Yarrowia lipolytica: one gene and its partners. The protein of the gene in region 1 interacts with the protein of each later gene in a biochemical or structural test. Links are inferred from orthologs where the notes say so. Each region holds a gene or a part of one and is shown on either strand. Other genes may lie near its edges.

The links. The genes of interacting proteins can lie anywhere in the genome.
Region 2: the proteins of YALI1_F07429g (region 1) and YALI1_D02831g form a complex in vitro, tested with the Saccharomyces cerevisiae proteins (2 studies listed by BioGRID). The link is inferred for Yarrowia lipolytica from reciprocal best matches to the Saccharomyces cerevisiae genes MCM4 and PSF3.
Region 3: the proteins of YALI1_F07429g (region 1) and YALI1_B08438g form a complex in vitro, tested with the Saccharomyces cerevisiae proteins (5 studies listed by BioGRID). The link is inferred for Yarrowia lipolytica from reciprocal best matches to the Saccharomyces cerevisiae genes MCM4 and CDC45.

What each region holds. Positions count from the first base shown.
Region 1 is NC_090775.1:740,704-746,967, forward strand, and holds YALI1_F07429g (uncharacterized protein), read left to right. Parts: upstream 1-2,270; coding exon 2,271-5,045; downstream 5,046-6,264. Other genes in the region: YALI1_F07401g (uncharacterized protein), read left to right, coding at 1-365; YALI1_F07416g (uncharacterized protein), read right to left, coding at 679-907, 1,384-1,388; YALI1_F07504g (uncharacterized protein), read right to left, coding at 6,200-6,264. UniProt on the Saccharomyces cerevisiae protein: Acts as a component of the MCM2-7 complex (MCM complex) which is the putative replicative helicase essential for 'once per cell cycle' DNA replication initiation and elongation in eukaryotic cells.
Region 2 is NC_090773.1:281,709-286,472, reverse strand, and holds YALI1_D02831g (uncharacterized protein), read left to right. Parts: upstream 1-2,550; coding exon 2,551-2,595; intron 2,596-2,790; coding exon 2,791-2,859; intron 2,860-3,289; coding exon 3,290-3,703; downstream 3,704-4,764. Other genes in the region: YALI1_D02852g (uncharacterized protein), read right to left, coding at 6-1,193; YALI1_D02804g (uncharacterized protein), read right to left, coding at 4,174-4,764. UniProt on the Saccharomyces cerevisiae protein: Functions as part of the GINS complex which plays an essential role in the initiation of DNA replication by binding to DNA replication origins and facilitating the assembly of the DNA replication machinery.
Region 3 is NC_090771.1:840,788-846,296, reverse strand, and holds YALI1_B08438g (uncharacterized protein), read left to right. Parts: upstream 1-2,459; coding exon 2,460-4,448; downstream 4,449-5,509. Other genes in the region: YALI1_B08461g (uncharacterized protein), read left to right, coding at 174-1,811; YALI1_B08401g (uncharacterized protein), read right to left, coding at 4,573-5,509. UniProt on the Saccharomyces cerevisiae protein: Required for initiation of chromosomal DNA replication. Acts at the origin of replication. Also has a role in minichromosome maintenance.

The DNA.
Region 1 (6,264 bases):
AGATTAGCGCCAACAAACCGGCGCTGGTGTGTATTGTGGGCCGCGGCATTTGGGCGACTGTATTTCGCGCCGTGTTCAAGCACCAGGGGATCAAGAAGAGTGAGATGCCTCACTTTGGGCTCATGCCCGTGCACATGGGCACATCGAGGGTGTTTGTGGTGCCCAGTACGAGTGGGTTGGTGAGAGATAAGAGGCTGGAGCTGTGGAGGGAGTTAGGACAACTGTATCGCGGGAAGGGGGAGAAACAGGAGGACACAGATCATGTGCTGCTACAAGCCTCAGAAAGGGTCAGTAACCCCAAGAAAGAAGACGATTGTAGTCATGATTTCAGTGGCCGTGTCAAGAAGGAAGAGACGGATATGTGAATGGCGAAGGAAAAGACGGATGTGTGAATGACAGTGTGAACTGATTGGACTGGGATCTTTTGTTATTCTAACTGTCAGTTACGGATGCTACTGTCGAGGCTCGCTGACACTGCGACGCTTGTCCGAAACCCTTCATCAACTCAATAACAATGCCGTTGAAGTCGAGCGGCAGCAAGCGTTAGTCGACAGAGTCAATATCTCTCGCTCACATTGAGGTTTAGCAGATCCACATCCAGGATCACATTCTCCTTTAAACCATCGGCGATCTGCAGACCTCACCAGAAGTAGCAGATCACCTCCTAACCCTGTCGCACTACACCCAGTCGTCTCTTGAGGTGTTGGGCTGTGTCATTTGACTCTGGTTCGGGCTAGACTCAGCTCTACTTGGCTCGTAGTTCATTCCAAAAGCTACGACAAATTTTATCAAGGCACCGACGAAGCCTTGTCTAACTACCTGTTTTCTCCAGTCAGGATCAGTGCCGTGAGAATGCACGTGGCCCGGGCCAACTGGCCCAGCTGTGCCTGTGAAATGATCCAAATGTCTCCATCTGAAAACGGCAGCTTATGAGGCTTTCAAGAATCTCGAAGGCCAGCTTCCAGGAGTGAAATGTATTGCTGCTAAAGACAGTCTCGGGAACGAGATTGCGTTTACCTGGGGAACAGATTTGGTCCTTCGATCCCGATCCTGAAGAAGATCGAGTGACGATGGCCCAGTGTGTCTATGATGAAGAAGACTCTGATATTTGTTGGACAGTGGATGAGGAGTTGAGAGTCGACATAATTGATGAATGTATTATTCAGAAAAAAAAAAGTACTCAATAATGGGAAGTCACAAACACTAGGGTAATCGTCGCTCTATTCACGTCACTGTCGGTAGGTACAATATACAGCTACGGTCTGTCTAGCTACACAAGAGGAAGCAAAACACATTCCCCATGAAATATCCAAGAATCTGAGATTGTACAATGTCTATAGCCCTTCAGTACCGGCTCTGACTTCTCTGCTTCAGTATATGCACTCCATATGAAGTTGCACACTCGAAACCATCCAACTCGTGAAATACTACTCCAATCAGAAAAAGAAAAGCTCCAATTAACTCGTATTGATTCCGTGATTCAGTTAATACTTATTACACCCTTCTAGGATCGATATATAATCAAAACAGTAGTGTGTACTTGTAGCGAGTACTGGTACTAGAGCCACCAAAAGTACTGTATTGTAGTCATAATGGAATCAAAAAACTCGATTGGAATCAGAAAGTGCATGTTGCAATACAAACATGTCTTCATATTTGAGAAATCGCCACTCGTACAAGATCTATCCGAGGCAAACACTACGCCGTCTGAACAACTCCTTCCAACTTCTTCCAGCGTTATCCCACGAGAAAACAAAAGCCACCATTGTATTCCTTGTACAAGCATTACAATACAAAAGTGCCATTGAAATCACCATCCAAGCTCCACAACTCATTCCAACACTCCTCTCAAAAAGATATACAGCATCTTCAGTACATACACTGTATGTACAGTATGTATGTACTGTACATACAGTATGTCTCCCACCTTTTACCATTCGGTGTACATCTGGACGTGAAGAAATGCAACTGGGTGACACAAACACACGGGAAAGCGCCGTGGAGCTGGTATTTCACGGTCCCGTATCCCCTCAGTCAAAAGCCCATCTCTCTAGTCTCGGGAGGCACGCGTCAAGTTACCCTACCGACACGTCTCCTGTGCCCGATTGGGACGTTTAATTGAAACTTTAACGCGTCCCAAGCATTAGGAATTTCTCCCAAACCAACCACCGCTTCCACAACACCGCACTGGACATTGACATTGACACTGTCATCGGCGACATCACCGCAGTTTCCCGCATTTCTGTTTCTGTTGCGCAAATCCACCCGTCATGTCCACACCCAGCTCCCCAATCGGACTGGGATCGTCCCCCCAGCGGGACAACAACGTGTCGTCGTCGCCCCTGTTTATGGGCTCGTCGAATCCCCCCAGCGAGCTCGGCATGGCTTCGTCGCCGGCCATGATGCCGTCTTCCGGCGGCACCCGACGACTTCCCTCGTCCACCGGAGCTCGTCAGGGTGGCGCTCCTTCGTCCAGAGGAGCCGCTCTTCTGTCTGATCTCGACTCCACCCCAACTCGCGCCACCGCCGGCGGTCGTCAGCCCCGAGGCGACATTTTCTCGTCCGACATCAACACGCCACGTCGACAAACGACCTTTGGAAACGGCTTCGAAAGCTCGCCAATGCGCCTGGACTCTGAGGGACTGTCGTCCACGGGTCTCGGGCTCCAGAGCGACAACGACATCTCCACCGCGGGCCTCATGCCTTCCGAGGGGATCTCCACAGACGGAAACGAGCCGCGAGCGGTACTTTGGGGCACAGACATCGCCATTCCAGAGGTGATGGCCAAGTTTCGACGGTTCCTGATGCACTTCAAACCGAGCTACCGGGTGCAACTAGATGGCACGGTGTTGGAAGACATTGGAGCCACTGGACAACACACAAACTCGGACCCTGACAGACTGTACTACGTGATCATGCTGCAGCAGATGCACGAACTGGGCATGACCAACCTGAACCTGGACATGCAGAACCTGCTGGCGTATCCTCCGACGGCGTCTCTCTACCGAAAGCTGGTGCTCTACCCCCAAGAAATCATCCCTCTGATGGACCAGACCATCAAGGACGTCATGGTCGCTCTCCTGGTCGAGGGAAGTGATCACCCGGAGGAGTCGGTAATCCAGGAGGTGGAACAGACAATGTACAAGGTGCGTCCGTATGGCCTGGGCACAGATCGAGGCATGAGAGAGCTCAATCCTTCAGACATTGACAATCTTGTGTGCGTCAAGGGACTGTCTTTGAGATCAACGCAGGTCATTCCTGACATGAAGGAGGCGGTTTTCAAGTGCTCGGTGTGCAACCACACCGAACCGGTCCAAATCGAAAGAGGTATTATCGCCGAACCTGTCGTTTGTCCTCGAACTGTGTGCCAGAGTAAGTACTCCATGCAAATTCTGCACAACCGGTCCATTTTCGGCGACAAACAGGTTGTGCGACTCCAAGAGACACCGGACGTTGTTCCCGACGGCCAGACGCCCCACACGGTGTCTCTCTGTGTCTATGACGAGCTTGTGGACGCCTGCAAGGCCGGAGATCGGGTCCAGGTGACGGGTATTTACCGATCTGTACCTACGCGAGTGAATCCCCGAAACAGAACCATCAGATCGCTGTTCAAGACCTACATTGACGTTGTTCACGTGCAAAAGACCGACAAGACTCGTGTCCAGGTTGATACCGACATATCTGGAGCCAACAACGAGGACGCGGCTGAGAAGAATGACGTGGAGGAGACGCGAAAAATCACCGTCGACGAAATGGACCGAATCAAGGAGGTGTCTGAACGAGCCGATCTCTACGACCTCATGTCCCGGTCTCTGGCTCCGTCCATCTACGAACACGACGACGTTAAGAAGGGTATCTTACTGCAGCTGTTTGGAGGCACAAACAAGACGTTCACCAAGGGAGGTGGACCCAAGTACCGAGGCGATATCAACGTTCTTCTGTGCGGAGACCCCTCCACATCGAAATCTCAGCTGCTTCAATATGTGCATAAGATTGCTCCGCGAGGAGTGTACACTTCAGGCAAGGGCTCTTCGGCCGTGGGTCTGACAGCATATGTGGCACGCGATCCCGATACTCGACAGCCCGTGCTTGAATCTGGCGCTCTGGTTCTTTCGGATGGCGGAGTTTGTTGCATTGATGAGTTTGACAAGATGAGTGACGCCACCAGATCGGTGTTGCACGAAGTCATGGAGCAGCAGACGGTGTCGATTGCCAAAGCCGGCATTATCACCACCTTGAACGCACGAACGTCCATCATTGCCTCAGCCAACCCCATTGACTCTCGGTACAATCCCGATTTGCCCGTGACAAAGAACATTGATCTTCCTCCTACACTTTTGTCTCGTTTTGATCTCGTCTATCTAATGCTTGACCAAGTCGATGAACGAGTCGATCGTCATCTGGCTACTCATATCGCAAACATGTACCTTGACGACAACACCGCCACTGCTGCCACTGGAGAGATCTTACCGGTGGAGTTTCTGACTCTGTACCTGTCGTACGCACGAGCCAATGTCTTCCCTCAAATCACCCCCGACGCCAAAGACAGACTTGTGGCGGCATATGTGGACATGCGAAAGCAGGGAGATGATCCTCGGTCTTCGGAAAAACGAATCACAGCCACCACCAGACAGCTGGAGAGTATGATTCGGCTGTCAGAGGCACATGCCAAGATGCGTCTTTCGTCCACAGTCGAGGTTTCTGACGTCGACGAAGCCGTGCGACTTATCAGAGCCGCCATCAAGGATTACGCCACCGATCCTGTTTCTGGACGAATCGACATGGATCTGATTCAGACAGGAACTTCTCTGGCCCAGCGAACCGCGCAGGCCATGGTTTCTCAGGAGATTGAGCGAGCTCTGGAGTCGTATCCCACCGGAGAAGCTCCTTACAATGAGGTGCAGCGCAAGGTGTTGGATATCACGCGCGCGGTGACGAACGAGGAGTTTTCCCAGGTGGTCCAGGGAATGCAGAATGAGAACAAGATTCGCGTCACCGGCGAGGGTCCTAGACGGCGACTCAGACTTTTGGCGATGATGCAGTAAGAGATATACACAGGTGAATCACACATGGATAATTAATTAGGAAAATGAACAAAGTGAATGACAAACAACAAACCACTTGTTTCCATTCTCAGGGGCAAATTCACTCGGCTGCCGAGACTCTCACGATGAGGCTCTCTGTTAGAGAGGAGAGTCTGGTTTATCGGAACGCCCCCAGCGAGTCATATGTAAGTCGTTAATGTATTTGTTGTGTAAAAGTCGATTTTATTTAACAGATAGACCTCTGATACTCGTAGACCCCTAAGGACTCGGAATGCGAATCCTCAGTGCGTGTCACGTGATCTTACGGATTTTTTTATTTTTATTTTATTTTTTATCATTCCCTTTTTTTCCCCTTCCCGACTTAACGGCTATCCCCCACCCCGAATCACAACGCCTGGCTAGCTCAATCGGTAGAGCGTGAGACTCTTATTCGAGATCATCTCAAGGCTGTGGGTTCAAGCCCCACGTCGGGCTACAAATGGTCTGCGAAACAGTAGGCAACTATTTTTTGCTGCTTTTTTGTCCTGTTTGGAATATGAGTTCAATCGAGATGATGTTTGCCATGGTTTCGATGATCACAGTCGTTTAATTTCTTCTTCGCCAATATTCAGTGTTCTTGGACTACTGAGAGTTGGAAACAGCTGATTGGAAACATAAACCGCGGTGAAGAGTGTACCAAGTTGATTGAAGATGTCATATACTGTAGACTGAAACCTGGTAATCAAGATGAGCATAGGTTGAGACAGGATGACGACTGTTCGATGAGACTCATGGATACACAACTCCACTCACTCAGACCACCTGACATTTCGGCCAGGAACACCAAAAGATGGCAGCACCCAGGATTCTACAAGTATATACCTATGTGCTCCCCATGAAAATAGCCATCAGTACCACCTTTCAAGATTTTACGACGTTTTCAAAGACCTACAAGTAGTTACTTCCCATCCTGTGTTTCTACTGTAGCTAGCAGTGTGGAAAATACTACAGCGAGACGTCTCCTCAAGATAACACATGGCACTCTACAGCTCATCAGACGAAATTATAACTGAACCTCGAGTAAGAGTTCAGTGCGGCGCAGACTCCTTGGTAATCATAATCATAATACTATATACAAATGTTTCTCGTTGGTCTGTAAGTCGTTACCCACCTCGTTAAAGAGGCACCGACTCAGCGTCCAAAGAGTCCATGAACTTGAGGGAATTACCCACAAAGTCGT
Region 2 (4,764 bases), on another chromosome or scaffold:
TCACATTAAAAGAACTCCCTCGTCCGATTAAACTCCCCCTCACTCAAATATCCCTCTCCTTTCAACAGCACCAACTCTCCACTACCTCCATCCTTAAACCTCCACACACTCTTTGTCAAAAACGTATGGCTATCACTCTTGCCCCGCTTTTGCACCTCCACCGCAGCCTGGCTTCCTGAAATTTCCAGATGGGCATTCTCGAGGTCCACCGCTCCAAACGTGAGCCCATGAAGCTTTGCAATCTTGTCCAGCTTGATCTTTGTGGCACCATAGAATGAGACGCGGGACAGCGCCACAGATAGGACGGCTTCGTCGGGGACCTGAAACACCAGATCCATGAGCTCCGTGTCAACAAATGGCCGCTTGTACATGACGACTCCGTCCACTAGCTCAATCTTCTTCACGTCCAAGTTTTTGAGGAACAGCGAGATCTCCTTCTTCTTCCGAATTGGGTCGACTCGGATTTCGTGCCGGATCATTTTCTGTTCGAGCCCCCGGAACCGAAAGTATCTGCATTCTCTCAGCAGCGCTTCTCGATGCTCCTCCGAGTGAATGTTCACAAAACCGCCTAGCTGAATAGCTAGCAACTCCTTGAACAATTTTCCATCTCGCTTGGGCACCGTAGGAATTGCCAGAGGGGGTGGACGAATGAACTGCGAATGCACCTCGTCGCTGGTATCGTGCTCGAGGCCGAAAAACACGCCCATGCCTGCAGTAAAAAAGTTCTGCTCGTCTCCAGGAGTATCAAAAGCCGTCCGAGGAACCTTGATGCTCTCGTTTCCGATGCGAATCATGAGCTCCGAAGATAGCAGTTGCTGAGTCAGTCGCGGCAGCTGGTAGTATCGTGCATCAATCAGCAGGTATACCGACGTGGCTTCGTCGGAAGACATGATGTAGTAGCCCTGCAAGTGGCGCACAATGAGCTTGAAAATGTCCGGAGACCGGTCGAGAAAAAGCACCGGCGGGTTGTCTTTGTGTTTCAGGAAAAACTCGGTAAAGTACGACGGGCCATCGCTTGATAGAGACGCTCCAGACAAAGTGAATCGCTGATCTCCAACCTGAATCGCGTACATTTGCTCATGGGGTAGAATGGCGGGGATGGTGGGGTCGAAATTACCCTTGGGGTTGATCATGGTGCCACCCACGCGGGAACTGGACGCTGAGCTGGTTGATTGGGGCGTAGTGGAGGCCATGATAGTGACGTGAGAGGCTACTGGGTGTGTGGAGGTGGTGATGTACAGAGGAGGTGTATGTATGATTGAACTTTATTGACAATGGAATAATTTGCGAATAGGGTACAAGATGCTGTGGGCGGATTGATATCGAGAAAATTCGACTGGTGGACATAAGAAAGATTTAAAATGGATTTATCTGGTTCAATTAACGGCATGAGTACTCCAATATGCCCAAACATGGCTGTCTATATCTACGTGCAACAACCTTATCGGGATTATTGTGCATGAAGGAAAGATGACAGAAGGGTGACTAAGGCTGTTGTCAGAGACCAGAGGTCTCGTCTCGCCTACAAGTAGACAACGACTGGCTGGGTTCTGCTGGGATTTTCAGCCGAGTTTTGAAATTTATCGATTTCCCCGACTTCTTTCTGGGTTTTCTTGGATCATCTTAATTTCCCTGAATTTTTCCTGAATTTTTCTGACTAATTGAAAATTTCATTTTCCTCTTTTTTTTTTCTTCATTCTATTCGCTTAATTATTAATTAAAATACTCGAATTAATCAACACGAATCACAGAGTTTCCAACAGCCTCTCAATTCTACAAACCACCCCAAGCCCAGTGGCACGTGACTAAACTAATAATATACAGACACAACCGCTGACAAATACACACAGCCACCGAAACGTGCTACTGGTAGACATCGGCCAGTAGTGCTGTCATCGCTTATAGTAGCTACATACAGTACGTACAGTACGGATACGGGATGAATGGGGAGAAAACCGACGCTAGTTTTGAACTAGTAAACAATTTGATTGAATGGATACTGGTAAACAAAATCATGCTCGTGCTTGTATACGATTTTATACTTGTTTGGCAGTGAATTCTGGTGACAATGCAGTGTCGCCATGCTGACTCCCCATCAAAAATACCCATGATGGAGAAGCGCCAGTCTGATTTGGTTTTGGACACAATCTGCTGGAAGTTGTAACGAGACAGTGTGTAACCAGCACTTACTCGCGTTCTGATTCTTGGTGGAATCGGAATGGGTGACGCGTTGATCTCTTCAGTTGAGCAGAGCAGCACTAACCGGAGAGCTGCCAGGTCGTGCTCAAGACTGTCGCTGACCAACGATTGAGAAGTAGAGAACGAACACACGTTGAGACATCGAGCTGAGACGATATATTGATGTCGATGCGTTATATACTTCAGCTTATCAACTGAGATACTCGTTTACATCAGCGGTGTGGCGTCTCGGTCTCCCATAGAAGCTACAGTACATACTGTACATCTCAAACGCACAACGCCAAACGCGAAATTATAATTAAGGTGCATCAGGATGTTATACTGTGCTAACACACTCACACACAATACAACATGGGTGGATATTACGATCTGGACGAGATTCTGATGGAGGGTCAGGTGAGTACACGGGATGGCATGACTGCAGCGAATAGTGCATTTATCAGGGAGTCCATTACCTGGATGGAACTTGCACGCTAAGATTGTGACTGAGGCTCAGCTTGAGTACGAGTCAGATTCTAGTACGAGTAGAATGGATCTCGTCTAGACGAGCTCTCTTCTGTCCCCATTTGCTCACACCCATTGCTAACACAGAAAATCCCTTGCCGATTTGAAGTTGGAGTCCCGAACTTGGGCTTCTTGGAAGGACGAGGACGGAAAGACGTGAGTATGAGGTTATGGAGAGGTCGGGTTGGATACGGAGGTGGTCCCTAGGCCAAGTCCGCTATGATATAGCTGGTCTATATGATGAATTAGCTGCGGTGCCCTCCCTGGTCCTGTCTGGTTCTGCATACGTTTGATGTGCTCTTGCGATTATAAGTTGAGACTGCCTACACACAGCTTGATATCGTCGAGGTCAATGAACTTCTAAATCATGGGCTTGACCTTTGTTTGTTAACTTCTGATGTTCTGATCTGCTCTTGAGAGCTAAATGAACATATTGTCGGCCAGACTTGCTTCCTGATGAACTCATGTCCAGCCTTTGGAGCCCTCTACGTGTTGTCAGTGGCATTCTATTATTTGGCGACACTCTTGTTCGCTTACGCGCACCGGTCCACGGACTCCCGGTTTTCGTTTCTCTCAGCTAACCAAGATGAACGAAGGTACAATCATTGATCTCCCCATTTGGATCGCAGACGTGCTCTCACAGTCTGAATACGACCCGTATTCCGGCAACCAAGAGTGTTTTGTGACCGTCAAGATCCCGCACGCTCTCAAGCCCAGTGTCTTGAACGCTCTCAAAACGGATGCTCCTGGCGTCGATCTTCGATACCAGTCTCCTCTCTTCTTTGCCCTGGCCATCTACTACCTAGAGCTCTTTGAAGACGAGGAACTGGAGACTATTATCGCCACAGCCATGGCCGAGCGGATATCGGATATTTATGACAATGTTGGCCGACGAGGAGAGTTTGTACACAAGTACGATGAATTTGAGAAGATGTTGTACAAAAAGGGGTGTGCCTCGAGACGGGCGTATAAGGAGTACATGGCGACGATTAAGTATTAATCGAACGAAATGTGTTTCTTGACTGGAATTATACTGCATACTAATGAATTGATGGAATGGATATAAAGCTAAAGAGCTCTCGGTGTCGCGCTTCTAGCTACCTGCGATACTACATATATATATGGAAGGGACGTCCAGCAGGAGAAATCTGAAGGGGACACTGTAGCTGACTCATGGTGAATACAGGCTTACAGTAGAGTATAAAGAGGCGCTTTTTAGTTGACTACTGTACTGTAGCACTGTCCGTACTATTTCGCAGGGACTTCCAATATGGCCATTGTGTGATCTCGGATTTACTTGGCATTTTGTTAGATATACTTAATTTTTGAGAAAAGGTTCAATTAATATTGAATCTTATACTAAAGCATCCAACTATCTGTAGATAGTCGCTCGCTGAGTTTAGCACAACGACAAAGTACAGTAATAAATATTTTGGTGCAGCATGTACTGTACAATTATGTACAGCTTGCTCACCATCTAACACCAACCGCAATTCCATCCCCCAACCCCTCTCCCTCTTCTTCCACATACACTCTCCTCCTCGCTTTGACCCATCTCTTCTCCGCCAACTTCTTGGCCCTTCGGTTCATCTGTCTATGGTAAAACACGACGAAATTCTCAAACGACCAGATGAGAAAGACGAGAGGAAAGTGGGTGAGCTTGAGAGTGACAATCTTCACTCGTCGCTGTTGGGTTTTCGTGAGAAACAGTCTCAGAGGACGCAGCAGCAGCGGAAGCAGGTTCAAGGGAGGGTACAAGTAGGTGACTCGATCACTGGTTGCCTCCACAACACTTTCTGCAAACAACAATGTATACTCTTCTCGGGCATTGTTCATCATTTTCGAGAACCGGGTTGAAAGAATGGAAATGAGAACTGTCAACAGCAAAACATTGGTGAGCATGACAAAGACAAGCATGAGAAGAGACCCGAACATGGGATGTATTTTGGGCGCTTCGTCGAACCCGGCAAAAGAGGATCCGAAGAAGACTCTCACCAGTAACCAGAACATTTCGTTGGTGGTGAAATCGCCTCTTCCAAGGAATGCAAAAGTTGTCAGAAA
Region 3 (5,509 bases), on another chromosome or scaffold:
TAGTTTCGACCCATACTACAAGTACAAGTACTGTACCCTATAAGTACCCTACAAGTGACTATAACCCGTCTAAAAGACCCCCTTCGCTCTGCAGATAGCTTGTCTCACGCGCTAAATGAAACAGTATAAATAACAAGTCAACGGACTCACGGTCCACCCCCACCCCCCAAAAAATGATTGGAAACGCTCAAATTAACCAGGTGGGAGCCTTACAGCACCGGTTCCCCAAACTCCACAATCCTTACTTAACTGCGGCCGTGGCCACCATGGGTGGTCTGCTTTTCGGCTTTGATATCTCGTCTGTTTCTGCCTTTGTCGACACCAAACCCTACAAGGAGTACTTTGGGTACCCCACCTCCATCCAGCAGGGCGGTATCACTGCCTCAATGGCCGGTGGATCCTTCCTGTCGTCTCTGGTGGCCGGCTGGATTTCCGACCGACTTGGTCGACGTTTCGCCATCCACTTTGCTTCCTTTTGGTGGGTGGTTGGAGCTGCCATCCAGTCCTCAGCCCAAAACAAGGGCCAATTGATCGCCGGTCGACTCATTTCCGGCCTTGGTATCGGTCTGGGCTCCTCGGTTATCCCCGTCTACATCTCCGAGCTGTCTCCCAAGAAGATTCGAGGTCGGCTTGTCGGTCTCTTCCAATGGGCCGTTACCTGGGGTATCCTCATCATGTTCTACATTTCCTTCGGTCTCAGTAACATCCACGGAGTCGCCGGATTCAGAGTCGCCTGGGGTCTGCAGATCATCCCCGGTCTGCTCATGTCTCTCGGTTGTTTGTTCCTGGAAGAGTCTCCGCGATGGCTAGCCAAGCAGGACAACTGGGACGAGTCCGTGCGAGTGCTTCGAGCCATCCACCAGGGAGGCTACGGCACCGAAGAAGACATTTTGTTAGAGATTGAAGAGATCCGAGAAGCAGTCCGAATCGAGCATGAGACCAAAAACCTGCGATTCTGGCACCTGTTCCAAAAGGACTCCATCAACCGAACAATGGTGGGTATCTGGGCCCAGATCTGGCAGCAGCTCACCGGCATGAACGTCATGATGTATTACATTGTGCTGATTTTCACCATGGCTGGATACACTGGAAACGCCAACCTGGTGGCCTCGTCTATCCAGTACGTCATCAACATGATCATGACCATCCCCGCTCTTCTGTTCATTGACCGAGTGGGACGACGACCCCTGCTGCTGTTCGGATCAATCGTCATGATGATCTGGCTGTTTGCCGTCGCTGGTATCCTTGCAGTGTACGGAACTCAGATCCCCGGTGGACTCGACGGAGACGCATTCACAACCATTGTCATTGAGCCCACTCACAAGCCTGCCCAAAAGGGAGTCATTGCGTGCTCGTACCTGTTTGTGGCCACCTTTGCGCCTACCTGGGGCCCCGGTATCTGGCTGTACTGCTCCGAGCTGTTCCCTCTGAAGCAGCGAGCTGTGGCTGCCGGTGTAACCGCCTCTGCCAACTGGATCTTCAACTTTGCTCTCGCTCTATTCGTGCCCTCGGCCTTCAAGAACATCAACTGGAAGACCTACATCATCTTTGGAGTCTTCTGTATCGTCATGACCATCCACGTCTTTGTCCTCTTCCCCGAAACCAAGGGCAAGACCCTCGAAGAGATTGATATGATGTGGGCCGCCCGAGTTCCTGCCTGGAGAACCGCAAACTGGGTGCCTGACCACGTTCCTGGCGCCCTTCCCGAAGACGAGAAACACTCGGAGGAGATGGTCGAGGCCGTCGAATCCAATGAAGAGGAGCCCAAGATAGCCAGTGCTAACGTCGACGCCCCTCCCCCTCAATTGTAATAGCAGTAATTAATAATGTAACCAGGTGTCAGCGACACGAGCACTGGTCTGAATTGTTGAATAATGTGTTGTATTGTACTCCACAATATTTAGTTGGGACTTAGTTTAGTGTCAACAGTTTATCCCATTGATTTAACAAATACTAAAGGCATTTATTTAACAAACCTTATCATCAAACCAGAGAATGTACGGTAACAGGTAAAAGTATACATACGCCTATAGTGGATACTTAGGAACCTCAAATTACAAAGGAGAAATCATTGAAATAATCCCCAACACGTTCTCTACAACATCCACTTTTTATATTTCTTACAACCCCTCTACAAACACCTCTACAAACATACCTACATACAAACCAATTTTTTTTCACCAACTCTACTAAAATCCATACTTGTTTCCACCCCTGATCTACTTGTAGTGATTGTGAGACACGTTATGGGCCAGTTTCCGCCCTCGCCTTTTCGATCACGTGACCAGGACACACACACATACACACACATAGATATACACCCTCACGTGACCACACCGACTGCACTTTCTTTGCAGTACCCTAACCTCTAATTACCGGTCTGCACACGCGTAACTTTACCTTGACGCGTCTTTCCACCACACCGAATCAAAGTGAGTGACGACTGACAACGACACACCATGATCATCCAACCAGACCAGTTTGAAGAGACGTATCGGGCGCTGTGCAAGACCAGTATTGCTCACATGACGTGCAAGCTGGTGGTGTTTGTGTCGTGTCTCAATGTGGACGCTCTGTGTGGAGCTCGAATGTTTTCTGATCTGCTGCGAGCCCAGTTGATCCCCCACAAGACGGTGCCGGTGACGGGCTACGAGGAGATGATTCGCAAGTACCGGGCTCTGGACCCCGAGATTCTCAACGTTTTCTTCATTGGGTTCGGTGCCACTCAGGATGTGGGGGAACTGTTGAGGGGGGACGACGAGGAGATGGAGCTCAAAAAGATTTACATTGTGGACGGAAACCGGCCCTGGCACTTGGATAACATTTTGGATTCCAAGATTGTGTGCTTTGACGACGGACGGGGCAATTTGGAAGAGCGAGGGGAATTGTTGGTGGCATACAACTGGCTGAACGACATGAGTGCCGAAGAGCTGGACGCTCTGAGTGATCTGGAAGATGAGGGTGACGATGACGACGACGATGACGACCAGCAAATTCATAAGAGAAATGGTCACCACACCAATACTGTCGACGACAATGATTCTGACTCCGATGGTGGTGATCTAGTGGACACTCTACTTCCTTCGAAACGGTCCAACTCTGAAGACCTGCCTGACGCCAAGAAACTGCATTCCCAACTTCTGTCGGCGAAGAAACAAAAAGACGACTTTGAAGACAAGATCAGAGCCTACTACCAGCAAGGCACCTCTCAGTCCTCCCCAGCCTCTTGCATGCTCTACACTCTCATGTCGCTTATTGGTGAAACGTCAATCACTCGCTTATGGTTAGCTGTCGTGGGAACATCTTCTCTGGACAGTCAATACCCGCAAGTATTCCAGGACTCGTTTCCCATGCTTGCAGATGAAGTAAATCGAGTCGGCAACGAAGAAGCAGCCGCCCAGATGGCCCAGAATGCAAACTCTGAGGCCCCCGTGTCAGAAAAGGAGCTGGTCACGTCTCTCAAACTCGAAACCGACTACTCGCTGTTTGTGCTTCGACATTGGAACATTTACGACTCCATGTTCCACACGGATTACATTTGGGCCAAGATGAAACTGTGGACGGAAAAGGGCCGTCAGAACTTTCAGAAGATGCTGGCCATCATGGGTGTTTCATTGACAGAGGCTCGAGAGGGCTGGATCCATTTGAAGGTGAGCGTCAAGCAGGGTCTCAACAAACGAATCGAAAAGGCGGCCAAGGTGGCCGATCTGGAGGATCTTCTGCGACCCGGAGTGGTGCGAAAGTTTGGATACAAGGGCTCTCTGACAGCTGGAGATTGTGTGGATGCTGCTGGTGTTATTTTGCAGCTAGGAATGGACAAATCACCCGCGGGATTGGATCATATTAAGGAGGGCATTCTGCTCACAGTCGACCAAGACTATCGTGACGAATCGCAACGAGACCAGTTCTGGATAGCCAACTTTTGGAGCGCCTGGGACTCGTTGGAAGATGTGGATACACTGTTGCTTGGAATCAGCAAGGCCAAGCTGCTACAACAAGCTGTGGCTCGAACTACTACTGCATTGATTGAAAAGGGCCAGATTCGGCCCGTGTCGGACTACTTGGTGGCTGTGGTGAAGGAGGGACCCGATCTGGCCCTGTTCAGAAACCCCCTGGCATTGTGTCGACTGGGTATCTGGATTGCCCAGACAAAGGCCGAGGCCCACAAAAAGAAGTATTCTCCTCCACTGGTGCTGGCCTCTTTGGACAAGAGTACTGGAAACTACATGGTGTTGGGCATGAACCCTCGACAGGCCCGAGATTACCATTTTGTCATGGAAGAGGACCTGGAGGATGACCGATTTGTATTCAACCAGTTTACTCAGCGGTTTGCGAAGGCCGCAGAAGATGTGCATACGAGATACAAGATGGACATGTTTGAAATGGCGGTGATTGAGGTGGATAAGAACGACTTGACGCGGTTTTTGGAGCGGTTGACTGTGGTCTAAAAACAACGGTCATGTACAACAAATACTTACATAGGATACATTAATAGAAGCATTATTTAGTAGAAAGTAACGCTTGCTTGTATAGATGCGACCCTCTATGACTATATACATTGTTGCCTCTACTCTATGGCAACATAATACTGCCGGTATTTTCTCTGGACGCAGCACCAAGCAGAACCAAACTGACAGCATCGACAGCCATAAGGGCAGCCTGGTAAATTCTGGGTGCGGAGATAGTGGTCACAAACAGTACCGCCAAAATCATCTCACTGGGAACAGCCACCAGACTCCGCGCTACACCAATACCTCCCATGATAACAGACATGTTCTCGGGCGGTCCAAGACCCATCTGAAGAGCAATGGTGGACGAGATGAAGGTACCCGAAAGACCTGAGAGAATGGCAGCCAGTGTTCCGATGGTCTGAGATGCAAACAACAGCTGAAAAAAGCCAACCACAAAAGTCAGAACTGCCTGAAGCTTGCATCCAAGGATAGCCACAGGAGTGGAAGAAGTGGTGTTATTCAGCAATTTTTCCGCCGTGTTGACAAACAGAGGTCCTAGGAAGATTTGGGACACAATTAGAATGATTGTAACTTCCACGTTGAGAATGGTAATCTCCTGCATGCCCCAGTTCCATTGGCGTTTGTAGAACAGAAAACCAGTGTACTGAGATGTTCCATACAGACCAAAGAGAGCCAGGTAGGCCAGCAGGAAGGAGTTCTTCCGTTTATCCTGTGGAGAAGGAGCCAGACGAAGCACTTTCGAGATTGGTGCCACAAAATTGAACACGTAGATGAGTCGCTCGTCCCATTTCAAGACGCTCCACTCCGCATCCCACTTCACAGTAGCTCTGTCCCGTGATTCGAGCGTCGTTGATTCAGGAAGGATCACAACGACACAGCACACACCAGCAAAGACAAGCATTAGTCCCAGCTTGCTCATTTCAGCAAACGACGATCCGGCGGCGTTGGTTGCAACCACGGTGTTGGCTAGCATGGGGCCAATCAGTGCGCCCAGAAACAGAATGAAGGCGTAGAAGAAGGAGACATCGGTAGCCAGC